Linked DNA regions of Neurospora crassa OR74A. The main gene of each other region encodes a partner of the protein of the gene in region 4 in a complex. Links are inferred from orthologs where the notes say so. Each region holds a gene or a part of one and is shown on either strand. Other genes may lie near its edges. The genes, in order: NCU03029, NCU07710, NCU04463 and NCU04063.

The links.
Region 1: NCU04063 (region 4) and NCU03029 share a complex: the UniProt entries of both Saccharomyces cerevisiae proteins name them as parts of the SEA complex. The link is inferred for Neurospora crassa OR74A from reciprocal best matches to the Saccharomyces cerevisiae genes SEC13 and NPR2.
Region 2: NCU04063 (region 4) and NCU07710 share a complex: the UniProt entries of both Saccharomyces cerevisiae proteins name them as parts of the SEA complex. The link is inferred for Neurospora crassa OR74A from reciprocal best matches to the Saccharomyces cerevisiae genes SEC13 and IML1.
Region 3: NCU04063 (region 4) and NCU04463 share a complex: the UniProt entries of both Saccharomyces cerevisiae proteins name them as parts of the nuclear pore complex. The link is inferred for Neurospora crassa OR74A from reciprocal best matches to the Saccharomyces cerevisiae genes SEC13 and NUP170.

Annotation. Positions count from the first base shown.
Region 1 is NC_026501.1:8,387,488-8,395,774, reverse strand, and holds NCU03029 (hypothetical protein), read right to left. Parts: upstream 5,450-8,287; 5' UTR 5,169-5,449; coding exon 5,126-5,168; intron 4,992-5,125; coding exon 4,455-4,991; intron 4,385-4,454; coding exon 3,093-4,384; 3' UTR 2,921-3,092; downstream 1-2,920. Other genes in the region: NCU03028 (deubiquitination-protection protein dph1), read left to right, coding at 1,279-1,713, 1,779-2,639; cyt-18 (tyrosyl-tRNA synthetase), read right to left, coding at 5,836-7,600, 7,665-7,909. UniProt on the Saccharomyces cerevisiae protein: Component of the SEA complex which coats the vacuolar membrane and is involved in intracellular trafficking, autophagy, response to nitrogen starvation, and amino acid biogenesis. Mediates inactivation of the TORC1 complex in response to amino acid starvation.
Region 2 is NC_026504.1:2,121,701-2,130,010, forward strand, and holds the start of NCU07710 (vacuolar membrane-associated protein iml-1), read right to left. Parts: upstream 4,725-8,310; 5' UTR 4,479-4,724; coding exon 3,924-4,478; intron 3,870-3,923; coding exon 1-3,869. Other genes in the region: NCU07709 (cation efflux system protein czcD), read left to right, coding at 6,700-6,760, 6,818-6,935, 6,982-7,318, 7,376-7,840. UniProt on the Saccharomyces cerevisiae protein: Component of the SEA complex which coats the vacuolar membrane and is involved in intracellular trafficking, autophagy, response to nitrogen starvation, and amino acid biogenesis.
Region 3 is NC_026504.1:3,270,075-3,277,546, forward strand, and holds the end of NCU04463 (non-repetitive nucleoporin), read right to left. Parts: coding exon 4,360-7,472; intron 4,304-4,359; coding exon 3,536-4,303; 3' UTR 3,066-3,535; downstream 1-3,065. Other genes in the region: NCU04464 (hypothetical protein), read left to right, coding at 1-243, 397-1,787. UniProt on the Saccharomyces cerevisiae protein: Functions as a component of the nuclear pore complex (NPC).
Region 4 is NC_026506.1:2,619,506-2,627,405, reverse strand, and holds NCU04063 (protein transporter sec-13), read right to left. Parts: upstream 4,125-7,900; 5' UTR 3,903-4,124; coding exon 3,900-3,902; intron 3,806-3,899; coding exon 3,758-3,805; intron 3,690-3,757; coding exon 3,574-3,689; intron 3,506-3,573; coding exon 2,758-3,505; 3' UTR 2,464-2,757; downstream 1-2,463. Other genes in the region: NCU04064 (hypothetical protein), read left to right, coding at 425-591, 675-2,463; pex20 (peroxisome biogenesis factor 20), read left to right, coding at 5,039-5,158, 5,236-6,336; NCU04061 (hypothetical protein), read left to right, coding at 7,397-7,572, 7,654-7,900. UniProt on the Saccharomyces cerevisiae protein: Functions as a component of the nuclear pore complex (NPC) and the COPII coat. It is one of 5 proteins constituting the COPII coat, which is involved in anterograde (ER to Golgi) double-membrane transport vesicle formation.

The DNA.
Region 1 (8,287 bases), on a different chromosome or scaffold from region 4:
ACTCTGAGCTGTACATACCTGTCTGGTATAGTCCATATGTTCTACCTCCTAGTTCGCTGAGGTTGACGCGACGGCCCATATAATGCCGCCATAACAACAAACGCTACTGATCAACCGAAAACGTGAGTAGTTTGCGAATACGATTTTGTTGTGCAGGTTTGACGGAAGACATCAACGAAAGATTATTCTCGCCAAACCGGCTATCGGCTGAGGGTCACTGAACCTTCAAGAATGCTGATTGCGCATCAAAGTAGGAGGTTTGATGCGTTGAGTTTCTTTCATCCACCAGAATAAAAGTGTAGGCAGAAGCGATGAAGTGTCTGCCATCTGAAGAAAGTTTGTTCAAAACCAGAGAAGGGAAGAGGTTTAGGTTTGTCAAGGGAAAGAGTGAGACGATTCGCCCTCGTCCATTAGTTTAGAAGGTACATGGATTTGGTTCGAAGCAGCAGCTAATCGACAGTACCCTGTCATCACACACATGCGATAACAAAAGCTACTGGACAAGCTGATAAGATGGGGGGAACCGGTCAGGTGTCAGGTCATGTGGATGCCGAGAGCCCGATAGAACCTCAAAGAAGCGGATGGGTGTGAGAGCAGGAGAGTACTATCAAGGTGTCGCAGCTGACTGGAACTAGTAGGTGACAAGATAGTGGCTCACCATCTATATGGCACGCAGAAGTTGCAATCAGGCACCGTTCGTATCATCCATCGATTCCATGTAGTATGTATACCTATGTATACGCCTAGTGACCGGCGTTCGTTACGTCGAGGCCCTGTGGGAAAGCTGAAGTAGGGTACTAAGGTACTGTAACATGCACTTGGTAGGTAGGGTTAGGGATGGAGTCGTGTTCAACGACAGAAGTGAAGCCTAAAAAGGCAAGAACCTCGGTGAACACTACACTACCTAGTATACCTTAATGACGGCTTGTAGTGGGGTCTGCTGCCTGCCGTGGAGGGGCTCTTAATGCCATGCCACCCACCTGCCACTGTTGGCGGCAGCGCTTATCGGCCTCCGCCTGTGACCTTCCAACATTACAACAACTCAATTACTTTGGTTCCCAACACAACCCTTTTCCGTAGCATCACCATTCCTCAACTTTCACCAGCACACGAAGCTATCGTAATTCCATACGAACGACTTTGCAGCAGGCTTTCACATAATCCCATCACAAAGTGCTGAACTCGAACGTGGGGCGATCGGAGCTCCCCTGAGACCAACGTCATCATCCACGACCGCCATTAACCGTTTCATTGCCGAATCGTAAAGCGATAGAAATCATGGCTGAGGCTTCAAATACTGGCGGCGATGGCCAGATTACCTTCAAAGTAAAATGCTCAGGCGACAAGAACCACACAGTCACCATTGCCGAGTCTGCGACCGTCCTTCAGCTCAAGACCCTGTTAGCGGGGGAGGAATACGAGAACATCTCGCCGGAGCAGCAACGCCTCATCTACTCCGGAAAGGTCATGAAGGACGATGAAGTTCTTAGTTTCTACAAGATCAAGCACATGAACACAGTGCACATGGTTAAGCGTCCAGCCAGCGCCGCGACAGCCAGCAGTGGCTCAACCTCGACACCCGCTCAGCCCGCGATACCTCAGAACATGGCTGCCGGCACTCCCTCGAATAACCTTTTAGCTGGCCTCACAGGCGCTCGCTTTGCCGGTCAGGTGCCGCTACCAAGCCGAGACCTGTTTGGGCCGGACGGAGGAGTACGCCACCCCTTTCTCGGCCCCCTGGACCCTTAACATAGCTGTTTACTAATGATGTTTTATAGATGGGCGCGCCTCCTAGCGAGGATGAAATCGCGAACATGCTCTCGAACCCAGCGATGGCCCAGGTCATGGCCGAGGCGTTCAACAACCCCGCCGTCATCGACCAGATGATTGCCTCCAACCCGATGTTGGCCAACATGCCCGCTGATCGCGCTCGCGAGCTTCTCAACTCTCCGATGATGCGCAACATGATGACGAACCCGGAGGCACTTCGCATGGCGGCACGCATGCGTAGGATGATGGGCGGAGGCGCCAACGCCTTTCCAGCGCCCGGGGTAACGGACAACACTCCGAACGCGACGACCGGTGCCGGTAATAACAACGCCAATGCCGATGCGCAGAACCCGTTCGCCATGTTTCTTCCATTTGGTGTTCCTCCGGCGGGCGCTCCCCCAGCAGGTAATCCCTTTGCCGCGCTCTTTGGAAACCCCGCGGGGTCTTCGCCTGCGTCTACCGGAGCTTCGACCGAGAGTGCCAGGAGCGGGGATGCCGCATCTGCTCCGGCTACTGGCGCCACTTCGGGGTCTGGGCAGCAAGCAGATCCGTTGGCATCTTTGTTCGGAGCGCTTGGAGGTGCTGGTCAGCCTGGTCAGGCTGGTGCCGCGAACCCTTTTGGTTTGCCCCCTATCTCGCCTGAGGCCTTGCAGCAGATGATGCAGGCATTTGGTGGCGGTGGTTTGGGTGGTTTTGGCGGAAATCCCGTTGCTCCTCCCGACAACAGGCCGCCAGAGGAGAGGTATGCTGAGCAGCTGCGTCAACTCAACGATATGGGTTTCTTCGATTTTGATCGGAACGTTGCTGCACTACGCCGCAGCGGTGGTAGCGTACAGGGTGCTATCGAACATCTTCTGGGCGGTTCTTAACTTAAATTTCTTTACTAGACGGTGCAGAGATGTGGACCGGAGATTGACAGTTATCTGCTGTTCCTCAAGGATACGGCGGTATTCACAATGAACGACAGAATGTCGAGGGGATAGTGGATTGAAGGATGTCCAGGGAGTGCAGTGTTATCTCCTGGCGAGGTCATTGTTGGGCCGTGCTAGATATATTTTAATCAAATATCTAGCGATAATGGTTGCTCAGGAGGACGATAGACAGTCCAGCACAGAGACGATGCTCAAAACAACACCCCTTCAGCGGGTGTCCTCACGTAAGGAGGTTTACATGTTTACAGTTTAGCGATCTTTATCAAACATGTCTCCTCTTGCTTGAATCAACAAGGTTCTTTTGTCCTCTAAGAAGACGAGTTCGCATACAGTAGCCGGGCTAACTATCAACACCACTAATCAACTCTTATTTGCATGCTATCATTCCCTCTACCGATAAAGCACCGTCAAATCCCCAGCCGGCACCGGAAAGTTCCTCAATTTATCCATAATCTCCGCGTCCGTCATGTTCCTCTCCGTCATGATCTGATCAAAACAATGTCGTCCATCCATATACTTTTGCAACGGATCCCCACTAGCCTTCATCATCATCGCCATCTTCTTGCTGTTCGACCCCTTCCCCCCCGGACCCCCATGACTCCCGGGTTCACGATAGGTATCATAATGTCCGCCCGGCACCGCCACTTTATGTTCCCTCCCCATTTCCCCTTCGCCATACCCCCTCCCACTTTTCCCTTTGCCTGTGCCAGTTCCGGTGTCGGATGGCGAAACAGGTCTAGCCAACCCCGTAGCTAGCGCAGCCAGATACTGTTTCGAGATAACATACTTGTGCACCCTGTACAAACACCCCTTGATGACGCCAAATTGAACTAAGCGGCGAACGTCCACGTACCGTAGGACGTCGAAGCCGGAATCCATATGGCCCTTGAGCCATTCGGCCACGGTTTTGCCGACGCAGAAGGTAGTCATTAGGCGGATTAGCATGTAGTTGGATATGCGGTATCCGTTGGGTGGTGGGGGCTTGTTAGACGGTGGGGAGGAGGAGGAGTGGATGTTGGAGGAAGGGTTGCGGGGGGAGGTGGAGGGCTTTCGTTCGTGGACGGGGGAGAGGTGGTGTTGGGCGTAAGGGCTGGGATCGCGGTCGGAACCACCTCCTGGGCCAAGGCCAAAGGGGGAGAGGTGGCTGTGGCGTGTGCTGGCAGAGGTGGAGAGGTTGGAGGGATTGTGGTTGTGGAAAGTGGTGCTTCCTGACACAGAACGGAGACGGTGGTAGTTGTCGGAGGAAGAAGAAGAAGAAGAAGGTCCGGCGCCGGTGCCGGTGTTGTTGCTGCTGCTGGGAGACGGATCGATAGGTCCGACGCAGACGTAGTTAGCACATTCGTCGACCATGCCGCCTACGTTGGCGATGAAGTCGTGGATGCCCGGGCGAGGGGCGTAGCACGCGCCGAACAAGAACATGTCTAGGAGCAGGATAGTGTCGTAGTAGAGCAAGTGGCGGAGGGCGAGCTGGGTCAGCTCGAGGGAGACGCCGGAGGCCAGAGCAATGCGGCGCACGTCGGAAACGCCATCGATATGAGCGACGACGCGCTGCAGGGTTAGATCCCAGGTTGGGTCGACGACGTCGGCGAACTTCATCTTGGCGACGGGGACGTGCCAGCCTTTGACTTCAGGGGGGTTGACGTGGTGAGGAAAGAGTTTCATGTTGATTGTGTTAGCGTCGTCTGTTTTGAAACGGTCAGCATTTTTTGTAACTAAGGTGATGAAGGGGGGTGAATAGGTAGGGAGATATACCAATGGGAATCATGCACTCTCCATAGTTATTCAGATCCTCCTTCACAATCTCCAGCAACGATTCTATCGGCCGCCGCATACTCACCATTTCATTCCCGTCCCCATCCACCCAACGGCCCCCGCCATTGCCATACCCATGAACCGCGACCGCTCCGCCCCTCGTGGCCGCGTCCTGGCTCAGGTAGCCGTCCTGCTTCTCCATCTCGGCAAAGGTGGCCGCCAGCCTCCTTACGACGCGTTCATAGGGGATCTGGTCCACCACATCGCAACTGATGACGAGCCCAAAGTTGAAAATGAACTCGTTCCGGTCGTACCGCGGGTCCGGAATGGAGACGGGGTATCCCAGGATGACGTACTTGCCGTCCGGGTCATTGACGGTGATGAAGCGGTTGCAGAAGGCCTTGCGCGGGATGATGTACTCCTGGAGCACGCTGAAGTCGAAGAGACATGGTTTCCTGTTGAGGGGACCATTGGTGCCTTCTGGAAGTGGAACTGGCACGATTGAGCCCGGTGGACTTTGTGCGACGATTTTGGTTCCTGAGTTAGGGAAAAGTGCCACTGGTTAGCTTGAGATTCACTACACTTCGTCTTTGGGCTGTCTTGGCCAGACCCAATAAAAATGGGTGGGCAAATGACTTTGATGAGTGACGGGCAAGGCAGGCTATATGTACCCTCTTTTGGAAAGAACCTGGCATAGAAGATTGCTTGAATCATGATTTAAATGATTGTTGTCGAAACCCAGGGTCTTCTTGGTGTTGGGAAAAGCGACTTTGGATTTGACGCCGAGACGAGTAATATGGTCTCATCGGATGTTACCGGCGCTCATTTCTATCGGTTGGTTCTACCGAGTAGCGTATAGATGTCATCCGAATCTGAAGTAGAATGAAATTGCTTTTGAGAACAATGATCAGACACTTTGCAAACCAAAGATGACGTTAGCATAGTAGTCGTCGCCGTGGTCGGTTTGCCAGAAGTTGTCACGTATTGTGTTTTGTCTTGGGAAAGGTGCCTTGGTGCTACGAGGTCAATGGCTGCTAGTGTGTACCTCACATATAACCCTAACCCCTCCCACAAAAACAGAGAACACATAACCCCTTTTCGACTTCAGCATCGGAGGACCCAGGAATGAACGCTAACTATCCGTGTATTTCAAAATGTTTGCTTGAGAAACATCATGATCATTCTGGAAATACCATATTGTCGTTTGTGTTTTTCATATTGCGGGGCTCCACGGTATTGACTATGATGTCCAAAAATCGGGTATTCTCATGCTTCTATCTTACAAAATATGTATGGGGAGTAACGCTTTTGTCCAACCAATCCAACCTTTATGCCTTTTCTCTGTGCCACCCTACCATGCGAATAGAATCTTACACATTCTCTACCACTTATACGGATCCCTATCATCTTGAGTCTGCTTCTTCACCCCATCTCCCCGCACAGAGGGTTTTTCGTCCATCATGCCATCAATCGTTTTTACTGAGGCAATCATCTCCTGCTTAAGCTTGGTCTCCATATCCTTCTTTTGCCTGCTCTTTTCCTCAGGGAAGATAATCTGCTGGCCCTGCTGCTTCTCCTGCGAACTCTTTTGCAGCTCGTTCACAGCATTCTTAGCCTCTTCAGGGGTCAACTTCTTCTCTTTGAGGTTCTTCATAATCTCATTCAGTTTCCTGACAGCGCCGGTAAAGCTCTGTCCGGGGTACGTCTGGCCCGAAGCAGCATACTCGACGTCGCTGACCATCTGGATTACACGCACGTTGTGCTTGCCCTTGCGGAGGATTAGCAGGTTGCCGTTAATCAGGTAGCGCTGGGTCTCGCCGGGGAACCACAGCTTGACGGGCATAAAAGAGATGAGGTCCGGGTTCATGGTGACGTTCTCGCCGCCGGCTCTGTGGGCTCCGCCGACGTAGCAGCCCTGGGCAGCCGCGAGCTTGTGGCCCTCGGTGGTGCTGCTGGCGAGACCGGCGGCGTAGAGGATGCGGCCGATAGACTTGCCCATGATGAGCGACTCGGGGAGAATCATGTCGATACGGGGCGCGTTGTTGAGGGTGACAGGCTGATCTGAAATCGTCTTGTACTGATCGCCACCGGTGGCTGCGTCCTTGGCACGAGAGACTTGGGGAATGGTCATCTGGCCGGTATACATCATACGATGCTGGTCCTCGGCGGCGCTGGCCTCCTGTTTACCGTGCACCAGCGTCACAACCTCACGCGCAAGGGTATGTTGCGCGACACGCTTGCTAGGGTCTTTGATGTGCTCCTCCATAGTCTTGGTGATTTCGCTGATGGGCATGAAAGTGAAGAGCTTGAGGAGATTCTCAACCTCTTGGTCGGACCGGCGGACAAAGTAACCATAGAAATCGAAGACGGAGGTCTGATAGGGGTCAAGCCAAATGGCGTTACCCGCACTCTTACCAAACTTGGCACCGGATGAATCGGTCAAGAGAGGGACGGTGAAGCCGACGCATTCGTCAAGGGCAGTCTTGGGCGTAACATATTTGCGCTCCTGCGGGTCGGGCTCGGATTCTCGGGCGGCCTTGACGACCTCGAGACCAGATATGATGTTGCCGTACTGATCAGAACCTCCAATCTGCATCTGAACTCCCTGCTGGTAGAACAACTCGAACCAATCCCAGCCCTGCATGATGGGGTAGGTGAACTCGGCAAAAGACACGCCGTCTCCCTGGGTCATCTTGTTCTTGACGGTATCGCGCGACAGCATGGGGCCGATGCGCAAGGCGTGACCTACCCTCCTCAGGACCTCGAGCATGGGCTGCTTGTTCCACCAATGGTTGTTGTTGACGATGCCTCGCTTCCGCGCCCAATCGGCTTCGTAACCACGCGCTCGCATCTGAGTGTCCACGTTCTCCCACAGCTTTTTGAGTTGGTAGTGAATCTTAGTCATGTTCATTGTCGCATCGCTGCTGCTCAAATGATCTCTGCTTTTTAGCCTGCCAGTCGGGTCTCCAATCTTTGCCGTCGAGCCTCCAATGAGGGTGAATGCCTTGTATCCTTCCAAGTACATCCAAAAGAGCGGCATCAGGGGGAGTAGATGGCCGACGTGTAATGATGGTGCGGTAGGATCGATGCCGACATATGCCCCAATCCGCCTCGTCCTCATAAGCTCGGCGATGTGCTCTTTGGTGCTGGTAGAAGAATCGTGTTAGTCATGTTCCTGTGCGCATCGAAAGGCCAGTTGTCTAAACTTACCCAGCTGTATCCTTGACATAGCCTCTCTCCTCAAACAGGTCCCATGTATTCTGCTTCTTGCCCTTCTTGATGGCCTCTGCCCTCGCCTGCCAGTTTTCCTCGGCCTCATTGATCTTGGCCGTGTACTTTGGTCCGAATTCGCGCCTGAGTCCTCTTCGTTGGAGAATGAAGCATGATGGGTTAGCCGCAGCATACTTGGCGATACTCCCGCCGGAGCGTATTAGGGCTTTTGTGCGAAGCAGCATTTGATGTGATGTTTGGCTGCGTATCGCTCAACGGCTAGAAGAAGGAAGGAGAGGGAACTGGGCGCAATCCGTAGCGCAACCCGAAGCGCCGATTCCGGCCCTCTTTTTGCGATCCGATCAACCGGAATTGGGTCCCTTGCTGGGCAATTGCAAGAGTTTGGTTATGGTTCCAAGGGCGCGGTAGTAGATTGGTCGGGATGCCCAGGCGGTACAGTAGGGTTTCCGGCTGAAGATCCGGGGTCGCGTGGTGTGAGCGGATCAGTCGACTGGTGTTGAGGTAGGTTGGGAGTGTACAAGCGGCGATGATAGCTTCGGCCAGTCATTAAGGTACCGGCGAACTACGGCGCCATCGAAAAAAAATAATGGCCCCTCGTCCCA
Region 2 (8,310 bases), on a different chromosome or scaffold from region 4:
CCAGAGGTGGGAGAGCTGTCTTCGTGGATAGATGTTGGTCTTGACATCGACACATTGGACCTTGGTGAATCCCGTACTTCCGAATGCGGTGTTGATGGGACAGACACTGGAACCCGCCTTGTGTTAAACCAGCCTGGAGGGTTGGGTTTCGCATAGTCGCTGCTGATCTGGTAGAAGTACTGGCCATCTCTGAAAGGATGTCGCCTCTCAACGTGCACGAAGAGTCCACCGCCATCCTTCCTCCCATCTTTGCTTTCATCCTTCGACTTATCATCTGAAGTGACCATGAGACGGTTACCAAGCTCTTCGGCTTCCTCTCTGTCCTCCAAGTCTTCGAAGTTCTCCAGGAGCCAAGTGGTCATGTCAGAGCCGATGAAGCAGTTGTAATGGAGGCGCAAATGCCAGCGCCGGTTTTGCATTCGAATGCCTCCATTTTCCACGGGCTGCTGGATAGCCTCTGCCAATGCTGCCAGGCTGAAGTTCTTCTTCGAAAATTGCTCTCTGCTCGTGACCAGCTGACCCTTCCTGTGCCCGCCTTCCAGGCCCTCCAACAACGGAAGCGTTTCCAGCTCGGCCGCAATAACTACGGATGGATCTTCTGTTTTGTAAACGATATCAAGGGGATTCATGTCCTTTTTGCGACGCGATGCTTGAAAGCTCCGTTCGCTCGCCGGGATATACCTGTGCTTCTGCCACATCTGCGCAAGCTTCCGAATGCCTTCGATGCGAATCTCTTCTTCACTGTCCCCGTACTGCGTCTTGGGGAAAAACGAGTGTCTGGCTGTCATTGGTATCAGGACGAACCTAGCGCGCCAAAACCTCAAATGTTCGGACAACTCGTCATTATGCCCTGCAACAAAGGCATCGACGTAATTCCAGTTCCGATCAGGCGTTGGGGCCACCATGTCATAAGAACGGGTTTTGTAACCGTGGTCAAGTAGAGTTCGTATCGCCGGTTTGTACAAGTAACGGTCATTGTACAGTCCCGCCGAGGCGATCGGCTTCCGGACAAAGATATTAACTTCAATTTCGGTGCCATTCACACACGACAGTTGGTGGATCGTGTTGCCGACCGACATGAAGATGCTTGTACCATCCTCTGCTGTGTGGTCGCGGGAGAATATGTCGGTAACCTTGAGTTGCTTCTGGCCAAAGGCTTTGGCAACAGCTGGGCCTACAACGACCTGGAATCCTTGGCAGAATCTGAGACTGATCATCTCGCGCAGCATCTCGTCGCGTGACTTGGGTTCCTCGGCCAGCTCATCATCAGCATTTTGCGAGACATTATACGGTTGACGGTGGTACTCTGACTCGAACTGTGCCTTGGTAGGGAAGTACTCTGTGGTTAGTGGAACGGCAGCGGGGGAGCACAAAGACTTCCATTTCATCACCCGCGTCTCGTTTGGCCTAGGAAACACATGTTGCCAACGACTGTACAACGTGGCAATATCGACCTTGTTGCTATCAGGGTTCGACGGGTTGACCAACGTCAGCCAAGGTGACAGCGCGGTTGTCGGCGATAAAGTTGACGGTAATTCCGGTACCGCTCCGGCCAAAAGCTTGTTATTATAAACCTTCTTCGCATCCTCAGCTCTGATTGCATCTGAATAGAAGAGATCGCGATTATCAGGAACGTAATCGGCCCGTAGTGTTGAGGCAAGCATCGAGCCTGATAGCATGTTGGCTGCAGGGTCAGTAGGAATCTGTTGCGACTTGATTGGCATCGGCCGGCTTGGAGTACCCTCAAAGTACTGATGGCTGGGCGCGAATGAGCCTGGTGTAGCGCCCCAAGGGGAGAAAACGGGAGTTCCACTCGCGAACATCTGGGGCGACATTGACCGGTTGATTGCTGCTTTGGCTGGAGTTGCAACAGTGCCCGCGTTCATCAAAGCCCTTGAAGATGCCAATGATCTATCAGCATTCACACTTTCAATGCTAAGTTCTGCCGTCGCAGCTTTGGGTGCGGCAATGCGAAAACCGGAGCTGCCAAGGCTGATCTGCTTCATGAACTTTGGAACTTTTGGAGTGATTGTTGGTGAACGCTTGGAGTTGAGTTTGTCGAAGTCGACCGTCTTACGGTTACGCGATTCAGGTTTGTCGGCATTGAAGCGCTGACTGGATCTATGCCCAGTCATAGTCATTTGTGAGGCACTCGTAGACGGCCTACGCTCAGTGTATGACGTCCCGAGAAGACTCGCGTCATCAGCATGATGTCGCCTGACGGAATCATCGTACTCCCGAATATGACTCGGAGGCGCCAATGTGTGGCGAAATGACGGCTGGCGCGCTCTCGAGTCGTCGTAGTCCTGCAATTGCTTCCAGAGTGACTTCTCCCCCAACTTTGCGTGCTTATCCGGGGCGAATTTCTGGAAACCGTACACGTGATCAAAGAGTGTTTCTGGGATGCGCAAGTTTTGTATGAAGACGTTGCCATCTTGATCGATAAACGGTTTCGGTACGTTGTTTGCCTGTAATGCCTTATGAGGAAAATAAGGATCCAGATGCAACGGCTTGGTTTCAATCTCATTGGTTTCCATGACGCTGCGCATTTGCAAGTCATACATGCGACATCTTATCAAGAAGTCGTCCCCTGACCGTGTTTTTGAAACATCAGAGACCGACAAAGCAATGCCATGGTATGACAGGGCTTCCTCGGACTCGCCTGTCCAGTAAGAAACATGTAGCCATTGCGGCAAAGCATAATTCCATTCATCTTGAGCCAAGCCAGAGCCAGCATAATCACCATGAAGAGTGATGTCGGTGCCTCTGCTTGGGGAATATGACCCCGCCATGCTGTTAAAGCTCCCAATCGTCGGCGCTGTTTGTTTAGGAGTACTGGAAAGACTCGGCGCTGTTTTTGCCTTGTGATGATGTGTCGGTTCTGTCGAGTACTCAGGGTTGCGATACCGAAACAGGGGCACGGAGTGGAGAGGAGCCTTGGGTATGCATATAAGATCAATACCAATCCCATTTCCAACCAAGGCTTCGGTGGTACGGCGCAGTGCGTCGTACTCGACTTCGAAAATCCCCGGACTAGGGCTTATGACGACAACAGAAATGCCGGTTCGCATCAAATCACGATCTATGTAATCGTGCGCAAACAGCGAGGTTGCCATGTTGATCGCCTCTAGGAAATTGCCATAGATGGCTCGTGACGCCTCAGCCGTTATCCTGTTCAAGGCTGCTTGCTGGTCGGCTGGGTCATCTGAAGAAGAAAAGGAGTGCATAGCCTTCTGATGGAAGGTGCTAATATCCCTTCGAAAGTAGTTAAACTCGCGCTTCAACTGGTAGAGGATCTTGGTCCACTCGCCGCTGCCCATTTCGCTCACAACAACGCGGTAGAAGTCCTTGTAAGGGCGACGATCGCCAGACGACTGGACACCAGTGTAGTAGTCATTTTGGACGTCCGGGTTGCCCAACTCGGTGGATATGCCTGTGTCATACTCAACTCGAGCAAAGAGAACAATACTGACAAGGTGCCTGACTTTAAGTGACGCCCATTTCTTGAACAGAGCTGGCAAAAAACCGTTCACAACCTTGTTGAACATGATCTCACCAGAGCCATCTGAATCAAAGTCCCACATTTCGCGCGCCATTTGGATGAAAAGCACGTATCGAGCAGACTCGCTTCGGAAGATGGGTTTTGTATTGTGGCCAAAGAATGCGGATGGCACCTTACGGCCCTCAACATAGACAGCGGTAACCTGAGCCTTGAGAGTGCCCATGAACAGAACCATTTGGCCCTTGTAGACAGTCTTCTCTGAAAGCTCACGAACAGCCAACTGCCACATGTCGGAGCGCGACATGTACTGGTCTCTAAAGCAAAGCTCGACATGCGAGGCCTCGATGGCTGGGTTATGATGATCAATCTATGTAGTTTAGTAGGAATCCTACGCGGCTACAAGTGAGGAGTGGGGGCGTACTGGGGTCAGGGTAACCTGCGAACCCTTCCTCATGCCGAAGACATCAGCAATGTGCTTTGCGACGTAGACTTCAACACTCGGGTAGCGGGCTTTGAGTTCCTTGGGCATGTCCTTGACGACAAAGATGTAACGCTGTTGACTTTCTGCAGCCTCTTTTGTGCGGTCCGGTGGAGGCTGTTTATGATGGTGATGATGATGGTGGTGGTGATGGTGATGAGAACCTTGCGCTTGCTTCTCCGCATCAGGTCGGAAGACGTCGATAGCCATGAGGCTGCCTGGGGTTGCCTCATCACCTATGAGATCAAGATTAAGCAAGACTTCATCGCGAGCAAAGGACTCGTTGACGGTAACGGTCCACCTCCTCTCGAAACGTGAACGTCTTGAGGATGAAGAGGGCCGGTCACGGATGGTCGAGTTACTAGAGACAGTGTCCGGGGACCGGGGCATATCCGGGATGCGCTCCAGGCTGTTTCTGCTGAACTGCCGGAGGTGCGACGACCAGTTGGGGGGCCTGACATGTCCCGGCACCCCCGAAGAGAAATTGCGCGACGCCATCAATGCCGTCTGACAGTAATCATCGGCTTGGTTCCATGCGTTGATGTCAGATGCTCAGGTGGAATGATTAGGAGGTCGATAACACGCCCTATTCCTAGCTCGCTGTCGGTGGTTGCGATCTCGAGGCCACCATGCCTACGAGACACATTCGAGAGGATCAAGAAAGAATATGTAAGACGGATATTGCCGAAAGTGTACGAAGTTTATTTCATCGTCTACATACATGCAGTGATTGGCACGATGTCGCCTTCAAAGACGAAGTCTGGTGGGAGTTGAAACGCAGCCTGAGAGAGAGACGGGGCGACGTCCGCACAGGAGCTCGGACCATCTGTGCTAGCTGCAGGTACGGTCAGCTGTAGAGCCCTGTAGAGGTAGGTACCTGCAGTGTACTGATGCTCTGACAGTTGGGATGCGGCAGAATTCAGTGTGCCCTCATTCACCGCCCTACGATGCCGAACGGCACTTTGGAGGCGCACGGGCCATATCATACATATGACATCGGAGGACTTCCAGCCTCTTCACCTACAATTCTACAAATCCAATTTCCCTCACTATCCTCCTCCCGTCCGTTCGGACCGCGACGGCCAATGTAAAGATTCTTATACCATGGTTAACCCAAGCGTCAAGCCACCTGCCCGCCAAAGTTACACGGCTGTCTGATGGTGGGAACTCTTCGTGCATCCGTGTGAAAGTCGTGAGGTGGCAGCGCCGCCGCCGTGCTCCGTAGCCTAAGCCCGTACGACATCAATGACCAGCCTCCAGCTGTTTGTCAGAGCCTCGTTGTCTCCCCTAAAAGACCCCTCTGAGATTATTCCGGTCTTAAAGCACACATCTTGCCCATGCTCTGCTGCCATCGGCCTTCTCATCAAGCGGTTCAAGTTAGAATAGTGGTCACCTATCACGACATCTCTTGCACAGGGTGCGCGCTTTCTACATGCCAGTAATGGGGGAGGAATCGTGGTCAATTCTTCTGCAAGGCGATAGAACTGGATTTGGTTCAACTTACCCAGTCACAAAGCGATCAAGACACAAACTGCAAGTCGGTTACAGCATCGACTGTGCCTGGGAGTCATTGGTTCAAAGCTCTATACTGTACCTCGCCAACGGTGTGAACTCTCATTGGGACCAGTGTCGACTTTGTTCGCTCTTGACGTCGAAGAGGGTACACTGTCCAACGTGCCATTGTCATCCACCTTGTTCTCTAGGCTGCTGGTCTAGCACCAACGAAGTGCTGCTCGACTTGATCATTAAGAATAGCATCGCCAGCCTGTCCAGTGGCCGCCTTACGTCGATGGATACCGACCGGCTTCCTACTTCCAAAGACCCCCCGGAAGGGAGAGGACCTTTTTGGCTCACGCTTCACGTGCAGGTCCGTCTGTGTCGCACCTGCTGTACCCAACTCGGTTAGAATGTACTTGCTCCCTTAAATCGAGCTGACCCGGGAAGGCGGGACGGTGCAAAAGCTCCTCTCTGGGTCTCAACTCGATCGCAATAGTCTCAGCGTCAACATTATATCTGGTATCTTCAAGTCGGTTTCCAGGCAATCTACGTAAACACCTATAACTGGCTTCCGACCGACCTCGACGTCTTCCTCCACTTGCACGTTAAGCAATGGCACCCAAAATTGGACAGAAGCAGAGGCTAGCCGCAACAATCGCCATATCCTCTGCCTTTTTTGTATCAGAACTTGCTGGTCTGTTCGCGTTTATTTACTTCTATCGCCACTTTGTCTCTTCGTTTTGATTTGTTCAAGTTTTCTTTTGTCAAAATGACAAGGGAACATATTGCTGACAACAACCTCACAGTTGCTTTCAAGACAGGAAGCTTGGCCCTTACGGCAGACGCATTTCACTATGTACTTCTCTAATGCGTACCCTGTGACCATCCTAACCCATGCTAATAGTTTGCCGGCCAGTTGAACGACCTGATTAGTTTTGCTGTCACCTTAACCGCCATTATTGTAAGTAGTCATTTTCATTCTTTCCCATGAGACTCCTCCTCTTGCAAATCTGTGTATCATCTAACCCGGTTCAGGCACTGACACTTTTCCTAGAAGACCGAAGGGACCGGCACACCTGTAGGGTTTTCCTTTGGATGGCAGCGCGCCCGCCTTCTGGGCGCCTTCTTCAATGGCGTCTTCTTACTTGCCCTCGGGACGAGCATCTTCCTCCAATCGATTGAACGTTTCATCACCGTTGAAAGAGTGGAGGACCCAAAATTGATGCTGATTATGGGATGTGTGGGATTCACACTCAACATTATCACAATCACATTTCTGCATGGTAGGTTGGTCGTGAATCTATGAGCCAGAAGACATAGATCTGACACTTCATTCGCAGAGCCACATGACCATATTAGTCACGGGCATTCTCTAGGGCATTCGCATGAACATGACAATGAAGTAGCTTTTAACTTCGGTACATGTTGTCGGGCGGATAGAGATACAGAGTCTGTAAGGTCAACTCAAGGTCCCCGATACATACTTGAGACGGACACTAATCAGTTGTGCTGAACAAAAGCCTTTCTACCATCACTTTCAGCATCGGCATTCCTCTCTTCCTGATATCCAGCAGCCTCGACGCCGCGATCTGGGCATGCTCGCCGCGCTCATTCACGCCATGGGCGATGCGATCAACAATCTCGGGGTCATCGTGGCCGCACTCCTGATCTGGCTACTCAAGTCCGAGGCTCGCTTTTATGCTGATCCCGGTGTTGGTGTGGGTATTGCTATCATGATCATACTGTCGTCTGTGCCCCTGATCAAGAACAGCGGCGAAATTCTTCTCGAAAGTGCTCCGAAGGGAGTAAGAACCGATGATATCAAGCACGACATTGAGAAGGTTTGTCAAATCCAAACGACGGTAAGAACAGCAACTGACTTTTCCTTCACGGATCAGGTTCCAGGAGTCGATTCGATCCACGAGCTGCACGTCTGGAGGCTCGATCAGAACAAGGCCATCGCCTCTGTCCACGTCGTTCTCACAGAAGATGGTATCGTGAATTTTATGGACAAAGCGAGGACCATCGGTGAGTGTCTTCACGCCTACGGGATCCATTCGGCCACTGTCCAACCGGAACTTTCGCCCGGATACGAAGAATACGAGCTTGTTCCGGCCAGTAAGGCATCCGCAACGCTAGCTACAGCCTTACCGGATGGAGGCGACGGTCTTGTGGACGAGAATGAGTCAATTACGACAACGCCTTGCGGCACTACAAGCGCAGCTTCGTCAATCACCACCACCAGTGTCTCGCTGGCAAAGGGAAGACAGGCCAGCACGGCGACAACTTGTCATCTGGTGTGCGGAAGAGGATCCTGTGCTGGGCTTGCGTGTTGTCAGCCCGTTGCCCTTGATGCGCAGTGAGCTAAGTGTCGTTAGAGTGTTACTTTCTGTAGCACTGTATCACACCATCCCGGTCGCTGGATTATGATCGAGTTTACAACACCACCCCTATGTTCTCGAAGTAAATATTCCTTCCCACCCCCTTTTCCTTAGCCCTTTTCTGCATCAATTTTGTATGTGGTCGTTATTGGGCAAGCACAGAGGCCTCAATGAATTGGATGCGAGCCTACTGTTCACTCCTTTGTTGCCTAGCCCATACCAAGAGATCTGGCTTCAAAATTTCTTCTGTTTCCAACTCATTGGTTGGAATGGCCTAGTTCTCATGTCTTACGGCGTAGCTAGAAATAAGTCATTTGTATTTCCCTCTTTGATTCACGAACATCATATAAACCCCTTTGCCCCGTCTACATAACTTTCTGACTCCGGCAGGCATTATGTTGAAGTGATGGCACCTTTATGAATTCAGAATGTAGCAGGTTCATGGATCTGTG
Region 3 (7,472 bases), on a different chromosome or scaffold from region 4:
GCTCGTCTTCTTCAAGCGATTCTGGGCCTGATGAGCCTCTTCCGGATGGGGATGGACCTCCACCCAGTGGCCCCTCGGGCAGTCCCTCGGACGGCCCTCATCCAGATGGTCCTGCGCCTGGCTCAACTACACCTGCTGCGAATCCCATGGGTGTTCGCTCGCCCAAAGAAGACGGTAGCGTGATCTCAAAACAAGACGTTTCAGAGGCGCAGGCAAACTTCAGCAAGTTAATGTCAGAAGCAGGTACGATCAGTGAGAGGAGTGCATCTTCTCAGGCTGGCTCTGAGAAGTCGACGTCACTGAATCTCAGTCATCAAAACATGTCAAGGGATTCGAAAGCATCAATCCGGGAACCATTTGTGAATGATGAGTCGAGAGTACGGTCACCTGTATCAGAATTACGTTCACAACACCCACACTCAAGCTCGGAAGCGGAATCTCAGCGTGACAATTCCGCAAGACGAATTTCAGGTGTTCGTTACGTGAAGGCTCCAACGAATGCGTCGTCAAAAGAAAGGCGCCGTTCCATGGCAGTATCACCGCATGGCAGATCTCCAGCATCATCAAACAGCAACTCACCCACCGCAGCCCTCAGAGACACCACCCCCAAACCGAGTTCACATGCCTCACATTCGTCATCAAAGCCCTCCATACGCTCCCATACATCACGCAGGCTGGACCTCAACCCATTATCCCCCGGCTCTCGCGCCCCCTCCCACCACTCGCTGCGCTATGCGGCCTCCAGACACTCAAGCCCGCCCCAGTCTCCTACACGATCCCATCACTCCCAGATTCCAAGCTCCCCGAACCGCCACAGTCGCAGCTACAGCCGTAGCCATAGCAATCCTACCTCAAGGCACTCAAGCCCCCCTCAGTCACCTACACCGCCTCATCAGTCCCCGATTCCACACTTTTCAGGTCGTCAGAGCTATGGCCGTCCTACTTCACGACACTCCCCAAGATCACGCTCCATCGCAGGGTCAGGGGTATCTTCGATGCCCCCATCGCCGACAGTGACGGATTTCGCACCTATCTCTGCAATTTCCCACCCGCTTCGCTCTCCAGCTCCACCTGGCTTTTCTCGTTCCTCGCTTTCTCCCGCTTACAGGTCGGGTGGGTTTAAGGCGGCGTTGAGTCCACAACCAGATGAGCAGGATGAACGGAAAGGGTCGCGCCAATCATCATCGAGATATTCGAGACACTCTGGTGAGAAATCACCTTCAGTAGTGTCTGTGTCGGTTGTGGAGCTGCTAAGTTTAGAGAAGGAGCAAGATGGTGATGTTGGCATGGGGGAGCCAATGTCTCTTTTGGATCATGAGGAGTACGAGGAGAGTGAGAAGTGCGGGGAAAGACAGGGCAGTGAGGATGTGATGCTGGATGAGAATGAGGTTCAGCGGCGGGGTCGAAGAAGTGTCTCTGCAAATTCACAACAACAACGAGGTATGGATCTTGCTGAACATGAAGAAGAATCTGTGGAAATGGGACATGACCATGACAGCCACGGCGACCAGGATCCAGAATCAGAACCAGAACCAGAACAAGCACCAGAAGACTACTACACATCTTACTCACCTGTCGCTCCTGCTTCCATTACCAACCCTATACCATCCTCCCCCAACCTTTCGGGCCACTCATCGAACCTCTCACCAAAATCTCCCTATCATCCTCGCAAATACATACCAATTCAGGTACCCAAGGAGAACCGACCGCACCAAGCTAGTGTCTGTAGTGTCTCCGACAGCACTGATTCTGGGATTGGTGGCATAGGCGAGGCTAAGAAAGGGTGAAGATGAGGATGAGGGTGAGTTTGATGGGTTGGAAGTTGGTTAGTGGTGCTTGTGTGAGGTTGGGTGTCAGCGGAAGATGAGTGAGTGAAGTGGTTGGCAATGTTTGACTTGTTTGGAAACCTTTGCGGTGATGGTGGGACAAAGCGAGAAGATTTGCTAGTAATCAAGGAGAGAATTGGTAGTAGTTAGTGATGGAGTAGATGGGGAAGGAGTAATGGAAAGAGTGAACGAGAACAGGGAAGGGATGCAGACGATTAAGACCATACATGACAAGAGAAAAGGGAACAAAAAGGTAGCGGTGCTAGTAGTAAGTTTATTTGAAACCATCTTCCAACATCTTCTGTCACTATCGTTACAGTAGCCGTAGAGTTAGCCAGCAGGGGCGTACGTATCTCCTTCCTTCCTTCCTTCCTGCCATCCCTCCCAAGTCTGAACCTGCCCACTGCCCCATGCCATCCTCTGCCAGCAGCCTCCTCGTCACTTATCTCCAATTCCATCCAGTCGATAGGGGTACATATGGTACCCCCTCAGATCTTGTTTCTACTAACAAACCCAAGAAAAAAGCACGGTTAGCGCAATGGTCTAGCGCGCCACTTGGGTTGAGAAACAGAGTTGGAATCCCCGTGGACTCACAGTCAAAGACCGAGTTTCAGAGGGAATCGGAACATGAATCACCAGATAAAGACCCGGGCTCGAATCACGGACCGTGCAATTTATTTACCTCCTTTTTTCTCCTCTCCCCTCTCCGCGTCCATAATTTTTTTTTCTTTCTTTCTCTTACCTTGATTGCTGGTCTTTCGTTAGAAGCGCAGCTCTTTTCCCCTACTCAAACTCGTTGAAGGTTGAGGGACTTGGGTTTTGGACGTACACGGTCTTCAGCATTGACACCCCCGGTTCCTGCTTTTGATCTGGTTGGAGACTGAAGGGACTCTCAAAGGAGATTGTCGAGTAGAGCTTGATCTCAGTTAGCCATCCATGGATGCAGGCGTGTTTTCGTGCCATGCCTCTGTACTGGCACCTAGAACTATTCGAAAGAAGTCCCCGTTCTCTTTGCTTCCGCTTTTGATGATTCAAGGCCAGACGTAAAAGCGCAAAACCACCCTCTCGAGCACGAGTGTTTATCCTGAGAGATCAAGTGAAAAGGGGTAAAAGTGGAGACCGACCAGCATTTCACACACACATCGACAATATCAACTCAACCATCTTCATGTACCAAGACGCAAATGAGAAGCCAAAGCAAGCAGGCCCGGGTGGTCTAAAGTACCAGAGAGATGAAACGTGGAGAAAAAAGTCACATAAATACTTTATGTACAGTACACATTAACCAAACCAACCAACCTACCCACACACCAAAGCCATTGGTACCAATCTACTCGACAAAATGCTAGAAAGAGGACCACGGCGGATAGTATCGAAAACACCTACTTCCAAGGTCAATCAACAATGTATCGCTTTCTCTTAATTCTGGTTTCCTTCTCTTCGCCACGCCATCTTCATAGCGATATTTTCAAGGCCCCGACACAAAAGAGGCAGCAATATTCAATATTCGTAAACATAACTCACAGCAACTCCCTCGCTTCCATGTCTCAGGTAAACCCCCTCTTCCACTTCCCCGGGATGCTACCCATCATTGAATCCTCCCCTGCCGCACCACAACTCTCATCCGGAATTTCCTCCACCGTGGTCTTATACGACGTCCGCTTCTTCTTATTCATGGGCGTCTTGGGAGTCGTTGGATTCACCTGGTCCTACCTGGTGCTGAACAACAGACTGCCCTGGGCCTCGGCCTGCGACAGCATCTCCACCTTCCTCTTCAGTTCTCTCGTGTCCCTCCTGGTATCCGTGATGCTCGCCGCCTGAGCGGGGTCCCTGGTGCCGGCCGCAATCGCAACCAACGCCTCCTCGGCCCTCGTCAACAGCTCAGCCACCCAGGTGGTGATGGCGCCGTCGCCGTTCTTACCCGATGCCGAACCGCGGTGCTCGATCTCGCGGATCCACGAGTCGACGACGCAGTTGATCCACTGTACTACCAACTTCCTGTGCTTGCCAACGAAGGGCGCCTCCTGAGCGTCAAACATGTTCTCCAGCACGCGGGCGATCAGGGCATGAGGAACGCCCAGCTGCAGGAAGGCAGCGACAGGCCAGCAAGGGTCAGCACCGATCGAGGCGTCCTGGTGGTTGTTGATGGCGTAGGCGCAGACCATGGGGAGAAGAGTGTCGACGGGGAAGATGAGGCTGTCGAGGGAGGTGCGGTGGGCAATGGACTGGATCTGGGAGACAACAGCCTCGTAAGGCATAGGGGGTGGAACTTCAAGAGCCTCGACACCCTCGGGCAATGCCTCGCCTGCCTCAATGAGGCGCCACACCTCTTGCTTCTGCTCGGTCTCAAAGTGGATCTGGTTGATGAGATTCTCCCACGTCTCTTTGATGGTGTGCGGGTTCTGGTAGTCCGCGGCGTTGTAGATGAGCAGGCAAAGGTCGTAGTATCCGGCCTGATCGGCGAAATCGTTGAAGAGCTACATGGTACAGATTAGCAACTAAAATAGCATCATACTTTTAGGGATTGACTCACAGTAGAAAGGCCCTGGACAGGACCATCCAGAACCTTCTCGATGTCAGGGAGCTTCTCAGGTACTATGCGAGGATCGGCCCTTAATCTCTCAAGCAAATCGTCCTGGATGTGGGCAATTTCCAGAAGCTCAGTCACTTCGTGGTTGAGAAGCTGCTGCTGCTGGCGACTCACACCGACAGTGGTGACGCTGGCGTTGGCCTTTGCTCTGCTCAACAAGGTAATGCGTTCCTTGATGCCAAGGGGGAAGTCTGACTTGGCGAGCTCAGCCTGCACTTGAGCAGCCTCGAAGAAGCGGCTGCGTTGTGTGTAGAACCGGCAAAGAAGATCGGCGTGCTGAGCATCAACCGCAGCGAGTCTCTGCAGGTACGTTACGACATGAGGAGAGTCGATGGCCAACATGCGGTCGGTCCAACCCTTCTCAATGTACCAGTCGTACAAATCAAGGTGGAAGACCTCGTCGTCTGAGCTATTGACGACGCTGTATGCCTCCGCCCGCTTGGTGGCAGCAAGAGTTGGCCTACCGTCAACAACATCGGGCTCTGAGGCCGACTCAATCTCTAGCCGGTCAAGGACCTCATGTATCAAGGAATAGCAACTTTGCCGGTCCTTGAAAGCCTTTTCACGGGGATCGTTAGCCGGCTTGCCTTCGTTGAACCAAGCAAGGGCCGCGTTTCCACGGTCCTTCTCTCGCGCAACTATCAAGCACAGCTGGATAGCACCAGCGTAATACTTCAAATTGATGTACTGTTCGACCGCGTTGCGCAGGTTGGTCATGGTCAGGCTTCCCGCGACCTGGGAAAACAATCGCAAGCTCTCCGCAAGCAAGGTGCGCATCAGGTTAGGATTGCCCGATGACTCGCTGGCCCGCTGCAGTTGTTCTTGAGCCTTGAAAATGACAACGTCATCAGGGGAGCAGAAAGTGCCGCATCTTCTCCTGAGTGCATCGGCAACGGTCTCGACATTGGCTCCGTTGGCAATGTTGCGGTTAACAATAGCCTTCACCAGAACCTTGGCGAGCTCCTTTCCAGAGTCCTGAGAGAACAAAGCTTCATAGGTAAGGTTTTGCAGCTGTTGCTTGGACGAATCATCTAGGCGCATGAAGATGTCGGTTACCCGCTCATCGAACAGCATCAAGACGAAAGAGATGCCCTCAGACACGCTGTCCATAAGCTGACGCAGAGCGTGGAGAGACTGGTGCTCCAGCTGCAAAGCGATCTCCTCTTGTCTGCTAGAAACCCGATCGGAGGGTCCGGCCAGGCCCTGGATGAGACTTTTGTTTTCCTCAAGGAATCTCCTTAGTCGTTGCACACTTTCCTGTACCGTCATGAGCTTGGAGATGGGAATCGCCGAGCCAACAGTGAACCCGCCCGAAGCGCTATCCGTGGCTATCTCAATGACCTTGGACTTCCATAGGGTGCGGGCGAGGCGCGCAAGATAGAGCACCAGCGCATCGTGGCGAGCCGAGAGCTGTACGTTGTCCTCCGGTGCCTGCAAAACATCTGCGTCCGCAAGCTTGGGCTGACCACCGTAGTTGATGAAGATGGACCGCGCCCTGTCCTCAGTAAGAGGATCCACAGCACGACGGGCGTCTCCTCCTTGACCACATGCTACCGCCAAGGCAGCCGCGACCATTTCGACCCTGCCGTAGATGGCCGTAAACGTTTTCACCTTGCTGTCCAAATCCTCATCGCCAGATGCGACACGAATCGCATTAGCGAAGATGTCAACAAACCTCCTGCGGCGAACGATATGGATACCGGTGTTGGTGAGCACAGCGAATTCGCTTGGGGTATGATCGAACTGAACAGCTAGCTCGTTGCCAAATCCGAGCGGTTGTTTTGCAGCCGCAAAAGGGTTGCCAGTAAGACCGATGGAAAGAACTCGGCTTCCGTCACCCAAGGGGATGAAAGTACCTTGCTCAACATATCTGAGTACAGCGCTCTGCTTAAGTCTGCCGACATCGGGGGCTGATACAAAGAGCAGATCCGTGCGACTCTCTTTGGGTCGAACCGCGTCGAAGAAATAACCCGGAGGAAAACGTTCACCAAGGCAACTTTCCGAAAGTAAGCCAGACATTTGATCTTGAGCTGCTGCAGGTGCAGGTGCATATGCAACTGCAGTGTTGATCTCGTTGCGGAGGGGAACCTGCTGGTCTTCGCTCGTAGGAGGAAACTTGATGTATTGGACCTGCATGCTCTGAGGAGCAAGGCTGGTTGAGGCGCTCAGCATGTAGGATGCCGCGCTCGTCGCAGTAAGGAACAAACGGCATCCGGTGTTGGTGAGTGCCATGAGGTGAGACTTTGAGGCTTCTTGTGCCGAGATGGCGCTAAGAGAGACGATTCTCACTCTCTCGTTAAGCAAAGGGTTTCTGTTCAAGTCAACCATATGCGTCATGTCACTAAGGCACGAGACCTTGTTCTTTTCGATGACTTTTGTCAGTTTCCCAGAGGGCTCCATGAAGTATGTTCGAATGGTGGACTTGTCCGAGAGCGAGTATAGGAGTTTCCGAGTATCATCGACAACCAGCTGAACAAGGTGTTCCTGATCACGGTGGCCCAAGAAGCCCATTGGCACTGGGAGGTTAGGAACAACTGATGTCCAGCCAGGGTGTGTGTGGTTGACCTTGGCACATCTGCTAGAGAACCAGCGCTCCTCCTGCTGGTAAAGGAGCTCGTAGATGTCGGTATCGGTATAACCGCCAAAGAAGATACGGCCGTTCGAGGTACCGATGATTAAGCTGACATCGGTGCTTCCGCGATGTACTGCCATTTTTGTTTGGTAGAGGGCGACGGTCTTCGATCCCGAAGGGGTAGGTGTCGCGGATACGCCCAGCAAAACTATCTCGGTGCCCGTAGCAACGACTAGAATATGGGTGATGTTACTAACGAACACGCCAGGTTTGGGGGGCACTAGGGCAACCGCGGTGATGGTGGTGGTGGCATCCTCGTAGCCGATAAGTTCGGGGTTTGGGTGGGTATAGTCCCAGAGAAAGAGGGAGCTGTCAATAGCAGCCCACGCGTAGTTGATGTCGGCAAATAGGCCGAGTTGCGTGTTGACCTCTCCCCTGTTTAACCGCTCAAAGACTTGATCGGGGATGGGATACATATGAGTCT
Region 4 (7,900 bases):
AAGCCAAGTTCTGCCAAGGTTTTAACGAGAGCTTGTTCTGTGGAGGGTCACATGGCCCCACTTTCCATAGAATTCAGCTGCCACCAGATGCCAGACAGTGATTTGCTGTAGGTACGTATCTCCATTTGTTTATGGTCGTCGTCTCTTAACAATTTCTGGCGGCAGCACAACACCAAAACAACACCCAGCTTTGATCGTGACATCAACGTTGACTATCCAGCTTGGCAAGTCATAACCTCCCATGGGGTATTCTTCTGCATCTAGAAAAGGAAAGAGACGAAGGGATAAGTTGGTGCTCCGACGAGTAAGAATTTCTCGTTCAGTGTCCAAGGCCTCTTACTCAGTTGTAAAATCGTGAAATGAGAAAGGGTCTGACAAAGAAACTATGCCAGAACTTCATCATACACTGGCAACTCCGTAGAAGATGTCCAGATGGACTCTAGCACTGAGACTTAGGCGCATCACCGTCGCTTTACCAAAATTTTCGCACCAGGCGTCCCATAGAAGATTCTACAGTAGCAGTCCCCCGTTTGAGCCTTCGATAGAACGCTATACTGTTCCATGCGCCTCTTCTGGTGAAATTACCGTCAGGTAGGTGGTCAACATAACATCAACAGTCTCCTTGGGAGCTGTGAGTGACGAAGGCCAATTTTAGACTGATATCTGTGGCTCAGTCTGTACAATGTCGCTGACCGGCCGCCAACCGATCCTTTAATCATCTGGATCCCGCCCTTTGCTGCTCGGGACGAGACTGACCCGAACTATCAACTCCCATCATGGCTTCACACATACTCGGCCGCTGTCATTCACTATAGATGGTCTGGCTTATACGACGACAGACCACAGCCAAAACTCAAGCCAAAGATTGAAGAGCCCGATTTTGACGATGAAGGATATCAATCGAGCGAGACGCCTAATAGCAAAGAAGAAGAGCGACTACCCAAGGAAGAGGAAGAAGATATCAGCATAACTCCCCTTCACTGGCCCACCCCTATCCACGACGTTCTCTTTGGCTACTCCTGGATCATTCAAAACCTCCAACCAAGATACCCCAAACGCAAAGACGTCTACATCTGCGGCTCCTACCTTGGCGCCAGTCTGGCCGCCGGGCTGGCTCTCACCGAGTCGTACCCACACGCGCGCATGGCCGTACGCGGTCTCCTCGCCTACAACGGCATCTACGACTGGACCACTTTCTTGCCTGACCACCCGATCCACCGGCCCAAGGGCGACGACCGCATCCTTATCGAGGAGCAGCTGCACAAGCTGAACCGCGACCTCGACAAAGATGCAGGACCGGCTGCCACCTCACCCATCATTGCCCATTATCAGCGTCGGCTCGAAGATCTCTTTGGCTCGCCGTCGGGACTGTTTGACAGCTTTGCTAGCGCTTGTCTGTTTTTCCACACGGCGGGACTTTTTGTTCCGACGACTTTTGATGAGAAGTATGTTCCTGAATGGCTTTTTCCGCCACCTCCAGGGCCATTGATTACCGGTGCCGGTACCGGCGCCAATGGTGTCAGCAGCGGCGACATCAACGTCCCCGCGGACGTCCCCAGCGAACCCCACGACCCATTGACTTCCCCCTCTACTCCCCCTCCTCACCAACCTCCGGCTCCGTCGCCCCTCCCAGCCAGCCAAAACCCCACCGACGACCTCGATCCCGACAACTCGGAGCACTCGGAGCACTACCGTATGCACATGTCGATGATCAACGACGCCGAAGGCGAGCCGGACGAGGTAGCGGCCGAAGACATGCTCCAACAAACTCTCAAGGTAGAGATTCTACCTGGCAAGTTCCCACGTAAGAGCTATGTGCATTTCCCGCCGAGGCACTCCATGCTTAAGCTGCCGGATACGTTATTGTTGTATGAGACGCCGTCGGCGGAGTTGCCGTTCAAGTGTGATGCTTTGGCGAAGATTGGGTCGTCGGAGGGGGGGAAGGATGATGGGGTTGTTGATGCCGCGGCCCGGAACAGAAATCAAAAGGGACTTAGTGGTGTTCAGAAGCAGAAGCAGAAGAAGATAAAGGGGGAGGAAGAAGAAGAAGAAGAAGAAGGCCAGGGAGAGAAATACGAAGAGGGCGACTCAGCACAAGGCGAAGCAGAGGAAAAGAAGAAACCCCGCCCTCGTCTCAAAACGCGAAAACACCGCAAACCCCCGGTCGCCATCACCGCTGGCGAGAACAGCTTCCGCACGCAAGCGTACGAACTGGCGCTGCTGATGCAGCGGAGCATTGAGATGTTGGAACTCAAAGAGCGGCGGAAGTGGGACGAGGATTACTTGATCGACCTCCACCACTGGGAGCTGGAGGCGGCGAGGAGGGTCAAGGTGGCGGACGTGGGCGTGGTGGACGATCAGGACATGGCGATTGGCGATTTGGAAGGTGTTGGGGATCTGGATGAGAGGGGAAGGGAGATTGTGTTGGGATGGTTGGAAGAGAAGATGGATAAGGCGCGTTGATGACTTGGGAGGTGGGATGTACTGGGTCAAATGTACTCCCCGTAAGCCCGAGGTAATGTGATAGTGTAAGATAAAACTCGGTATGATCTCTTCATTGTCCCGAGCGGTTCATGTGAAGCCAACCTGGATATGTTCTTGTGAAACCGAAGGTAAGCCTGCTCCTTTTCGCTGGCCTCCCTTATTTATTACCCGATAACGCCCACTCTGGATGATGAGTAGATATCCTACCTACCAATATTATGCTAACGCTCGCCACCCATCATCATCATAACGTGACCGAATTCCCATGTGATTTTACTCCTCAATGGTCTTGACGTTCTCCCACTCGCCCTTAAGGTTCTCCTTCCATAGTGTGACCTTGTTGTTGTCACTGCTGGCGGCCAGCACGTTTCCGCTGAGCGACCAGCTAACGCGCCAGACGGCCGCATCAAAGTTGAGAACCTTGCACTTCCACTCGCCCGGGTTCGCCGCGTCACTCGTCCAGATGCGCACCGTCTTGTCCTGCGAGGCGCTTGCGATATAGCTCTTCTGAAGCACAGTCGGGCTCCACGCAACGTCGCGCACCCAATCTGTATGACCCGCCAGGGGCTCGCGCTCGAGCTTGTATCCGTTGGTCGCGGGGTCGAAGGTCCAGATCTTGAGCAGGTTGTCGGAACCGCCAGTCACGAAGCGTCTGTTGCCCGTCGAGCCGGGGCCGGGGTTGCTGCTGACGATGCTGCCGGGGGTGGTGGCGGGGGCCCACGAGACCGAGTTGACGCCCAGGCCATGGGCGTGGAAGATGTTGTGCTCCCAGCTGTTATCCTTGAATTCGAGAACGCTGACGTTGCCGTCCGAAGAGGCGCAGGCCAAGAGGCATCCGGCTTCGTGGGGAGACCAGGACACGATGTTGACGCTAGCCTTGTGTAGGGCGAAGTCGAAGATGCGCTGCCAGCTGCCGGCTTGCTCGCGCCAAATGAGAACCTTGCCGTCGTAGCCTGCCGAGGCGAGGATGTTGCCGTACTTGGGGTGCGCCCATGCTACGGACCAAACTGCGCCATCGTGTCTGTCGGAAGAAGGGAGGTTAACCCATTGTCCATATTGTTTGGTGACTGTAGCCCATCGCAAACATACCCCTTCAATGTCTCAACAAGTCGCTGTGATTCGCCCTCGATCTCGAAGATCTTGATGGTGCGATCCGAGGAGCATGTCGCTAACCTCCTGCCGTAGTAGTCGAGAACTGCATCGTGCTGCGAGGGTCGGTTAGAAACAGAGGGATGGTTGTCGGGAAACGTCGAGGGGGCGATGTTCAGCGTACAATCATATCATCGTGGCCAGAGTTGGCGATAACCTGTGCGCCTGCGGTCTGTCATTGTCGCGATAGCTTCATGTTAGTGGATAGGTAGCCAAGTAAGGGGGAGGGACGCCGCCGGCAGCTTTGGGGGTGTAAGAGGACGTACCATGTTGATTAATTATGGAGTATTGAAGATTGTGGAAAAGACAAATAGATTTGTATGGAGTTGTATTTGCGTCCTTTGGGTGATGAATGAATTCAGACTGGAGTTATAAAGTACACTACTCAGAGTAGTAGAAAGGAAAAAGGGCCGTCGTTGGGGATTCAGTTGCTGTTAAGTTGGATCACCACGGACGGGCATTGGGAATGGAAGCTGCAAGCTACAGGCAGTGGACGCCCAGGCGACACGATAGGTGAACCCGTCTTGCTGCGCTGGAGCTTCCACTTGACGCTTGCGCAGTGATCCCTGTCGAGCGATGTGGTCCAGCTGGCAAGAAGTCAAGGTGAGCAAGGTGAGCAAGGTGAGTGGAGCCTTTGTCGGTTTCCTCGTAGGCTCACCGTGGTGTGACGTTATTGTAACCAGGTCGGAGGCTCGAAGTGGACTCTTGTTGAGACAACCAAGGTGGGGCAGGTGAGGCAGGGGCCCGTTGACGACCCCACGCGTCGCCTGGGCTCTCCCGTCCCGCTGTAAAAGTCCACTGAACATGCCGTGCACATGATAGCGTGTGAGCGCATGGCTACCCCGACGGGAATTTCGCCAGTGCCGTGGCAGCGTTCACTCCCGTCACAAAAAGTTGGGATGGAATCTCACTCAACCAGACCTGACCATTTTGACCCTTCTTCCAGAATTACTTGTTCAAAATCAGCGACGCTTTTTGTTTGCTTGCTAAAAGGATTTCTTTACACACAGTAATCAGTCGCGTCCTTTTCGTGGTATTAGGTCCGGCGTTGTTTACTCTTTTTTTTCTCGTTTCCATCTTCCCCCCTCTCCAACTACTTTTCTCCAAATACTTAGCGTTGAAGACTTGAGATACCGGCGGGTTCGGTGACTACTATCGCGCTGTTCAAAGAACCTCGGCTTCTACTTTCGCGCCACTAATCTACATTACTTACAACTTACAACTCTCCTTTCGCTCACTCATCCAAGTCTTCCTCGCTCTACAATAATTATATACTCTCTTCAAGGACATTTCGTTCCTCACTCTTTATTTATAAAACCTTCTACTTTTGTAATTTCTTTCTCGAAACTTACCGTCACCCGCGCTTCTCGCCTTTTTGCTTCCAACAAGTCAAACCTCGCTCAACATGTCTGACAGCATGTGCGGCCCGTCCAACGGTGCCAAGAACCTTCTTGCGCACGCTGATCGCGACCGCACTCTTCACCAGGACCGCCTGGTCAACTCGCCCAACTCGGCTGCCGGTGCTGTATGATATGATCGCTTTCTTTTGTTTTGTCTTGTCGTAGAATATCCAGCGTAACTCGGTGCTAACAACCCATCCAGTCCTTCAGAAACCGCCCCTCCTTCGCTGCTGATGGTGCCTTTGAGACCTTTCAGCAAGCCCCTATGCTCGACGCCCCGGGTCCTTCCCTCGGCCTTGCGAATAATACGTTCCTGAACAACCCAGGCGTCCCGGCTTTTCATGCTGGTCCAGCGCCTGGTGTCTTTGGTCATGCGGTCGGAGGTGCGCCGGCTACGGCCAGTCCCATGCACTCCTCCCGTGCCGCTGCCCACGGCTGGGTCGACCAGTTCGCCAGCATGCAGCTCCGTCAGGACACAGCTCACGCGGCCCCGGCCATGTCACCTCAAGCCATGCCGGCAGCCATGTCTACTGCAACCCACAACTCCATGATGGGCTTGCAGGACGACCATATGGCCTACAACACTCGCCAGTTCGGCGGTATGGGAATGGGTGTGGGTACGGGAATGGGAATGGGAATGGGATTGTCCATGGACGATCCTTTTGTCATGCATGGCACAGCCACGAACAACTTCACTCATCAGCAGCCTCAGTTCGGCCTCAACGACCACGTCGAGTCGGCACTTGACATCGAAGCCTTTAACAAAGCCTTTGGCGAGTACGACGAGTCTTCCTTTGAGCAAGAACTTGCTGAGTGGGCCGAGAAGGAAAAGGCCGAGAAGGCTCAGCAAGCTCAGCAGGAGTTTGAGGCTGCCGAGGCCGAGTGGATGGCGCAGCACGGTCCGAGCGCCGAGAACAACACCAAAGTCGGCCCCCCCACCGACGAGGAAATGGCCACTATCGATGCTGATCTGGAGAACCTCGCTGAAGAGATGGAAGCCAAGGAAGAAGCCGAGGCTCGTCGTCGCGAGGGCAACGAGGAGCTGGCCAAGGCAGCCAACGCCATTTTGACCTCGGTCGCCGACAACCAGTCCGAGAAATTTCAAAAGTCGACTTTCCTGGATTTGATGCGTCGCATCGGCAACAGAGAGGTCGAGGTCGACGGTGATAAGCTTGTCGATGTGGCGACTGGCGAGCAGGTTAGCACTAGCCCTTCCGACTTTGGCCCCAACGACGATGTCTCTGGCTCTTTGGATGCGAACGACAAGGGCATAGCTTCCGCTGAGCCTGCTTCTTCCGCTTAAGTTTTCGGCACCTCAAAGTCGAGGATACCGTGTTTCGACCTTGGCTCACTGCTGGTTAAATCGAATCACTGTATGGGGACTGGGACGACCAGTTTGTTATCATTGCAGGCGCGACATCGTATTGTTACATGATTTCTCACTTTTGTTACGGCTTTATTACGGTTTAGGGGACATCGACACGATGTCGTGTCGAGCATTCGATTTTGTTGCTGCGCATTTCCGAGCATGGACTGGTTTCCAAGGGACGTATTTTCACATTGCTGGGATAGAAGGAAAGGGTTTACATGAATATGGAACTGTTTGGTACGAAAAGGATTTGCTTCAGTCATGGCTTGGGTCAGGTTCCGATACCAAGGGTTTGGGCATGGCGTTCAAGAAGGCCACAGGAGGCTAGGCAGGCGCATGGTTCATACTTTCTCTCACTACTTGTTACATGTCAGCATTGTTTCGGAGTATTATTACTATTACACCGGCGTAATAGGCATTTGTTATTGTACTATAATTATTCTCACAACAACAAGCAGGAGGCTTATCATTCTCATATTAGCGTGGATTCACATAACTGATACTGACACGTGTGAATACCTCGGACTGGAATTTTGGTTACTGATTTTGCTTCTCGTCGAGTCGCCATTCCCGGCCAAGTGAGCGGAGGGGCATGGAACTCGTGGGGTCCCGTGTGCCGACTGTCCAGTCGGGATGCCGCCGTGCGGGGGTGGGGCTTCCCCGGACGGGATCGCCATTCGGCCACGGGTGGGATGCTGGAATGATGCCATGCCGGGACCCCATAGCGTGGCATTTAAACGACCGCCATTATTTGTCATCCGTATTGTCACCTTCGTAATGCTTACTCATGAGAGAATCACGTCGATGAAGCTATTCGGACACCATATTTGACTTCAACTTGACCCTAACATAGTTCTCACCTATTTACTTCAGTTCACATCCGAGTTGACGCAGTACCCTAAAATTCAATTTAGAATCAACCCCGACCAGCTCACCCCAAACCCATTCAGCCAGAGACTCTAGACTCTAAACTCCTAAAACAAACAACAACAACATGCCCTCTCAAAGACCAACTTACAAATCCCCCCTAGAAGGCTACGAAAATGCCCCTCCCCTCCCCACCGAAAAGGCCGAAGACGGCAAGAGCCTCCTCAACAACCAAACCGGCGTGCTCAGCAGCGCCTACGAAAAGTTTCCCGAGCCTCTAGATAACGGGCGACGAGGTGCCTTGTACGAGCCTATACCCCCCTCGTTGCCTTTTCTTTCCCTCTTTCCCTTCTCCCTTTGTAAGTTCACTAACACTCCCCAAAGCGACGTCCACATCTATCACCTCCCCAACCACCCCGCCCAAGCCCGCTACGCTGCCGAGCTGCACTCCCGCATCAGACACGAGTTCCCCGAGTTACGCATCTACACCTTTTGGAGCCAACCCGTCGGTCCTCACCCGATTGGCATGTTTGAAGTGAACATCTTTACGCCGGCGCAGCTTGGTGCCTTTGTGGGCTGGTTGGCGGTCTGGAGAGGACCGTTGAGCGTGTTGATTCATCCGAATACGACG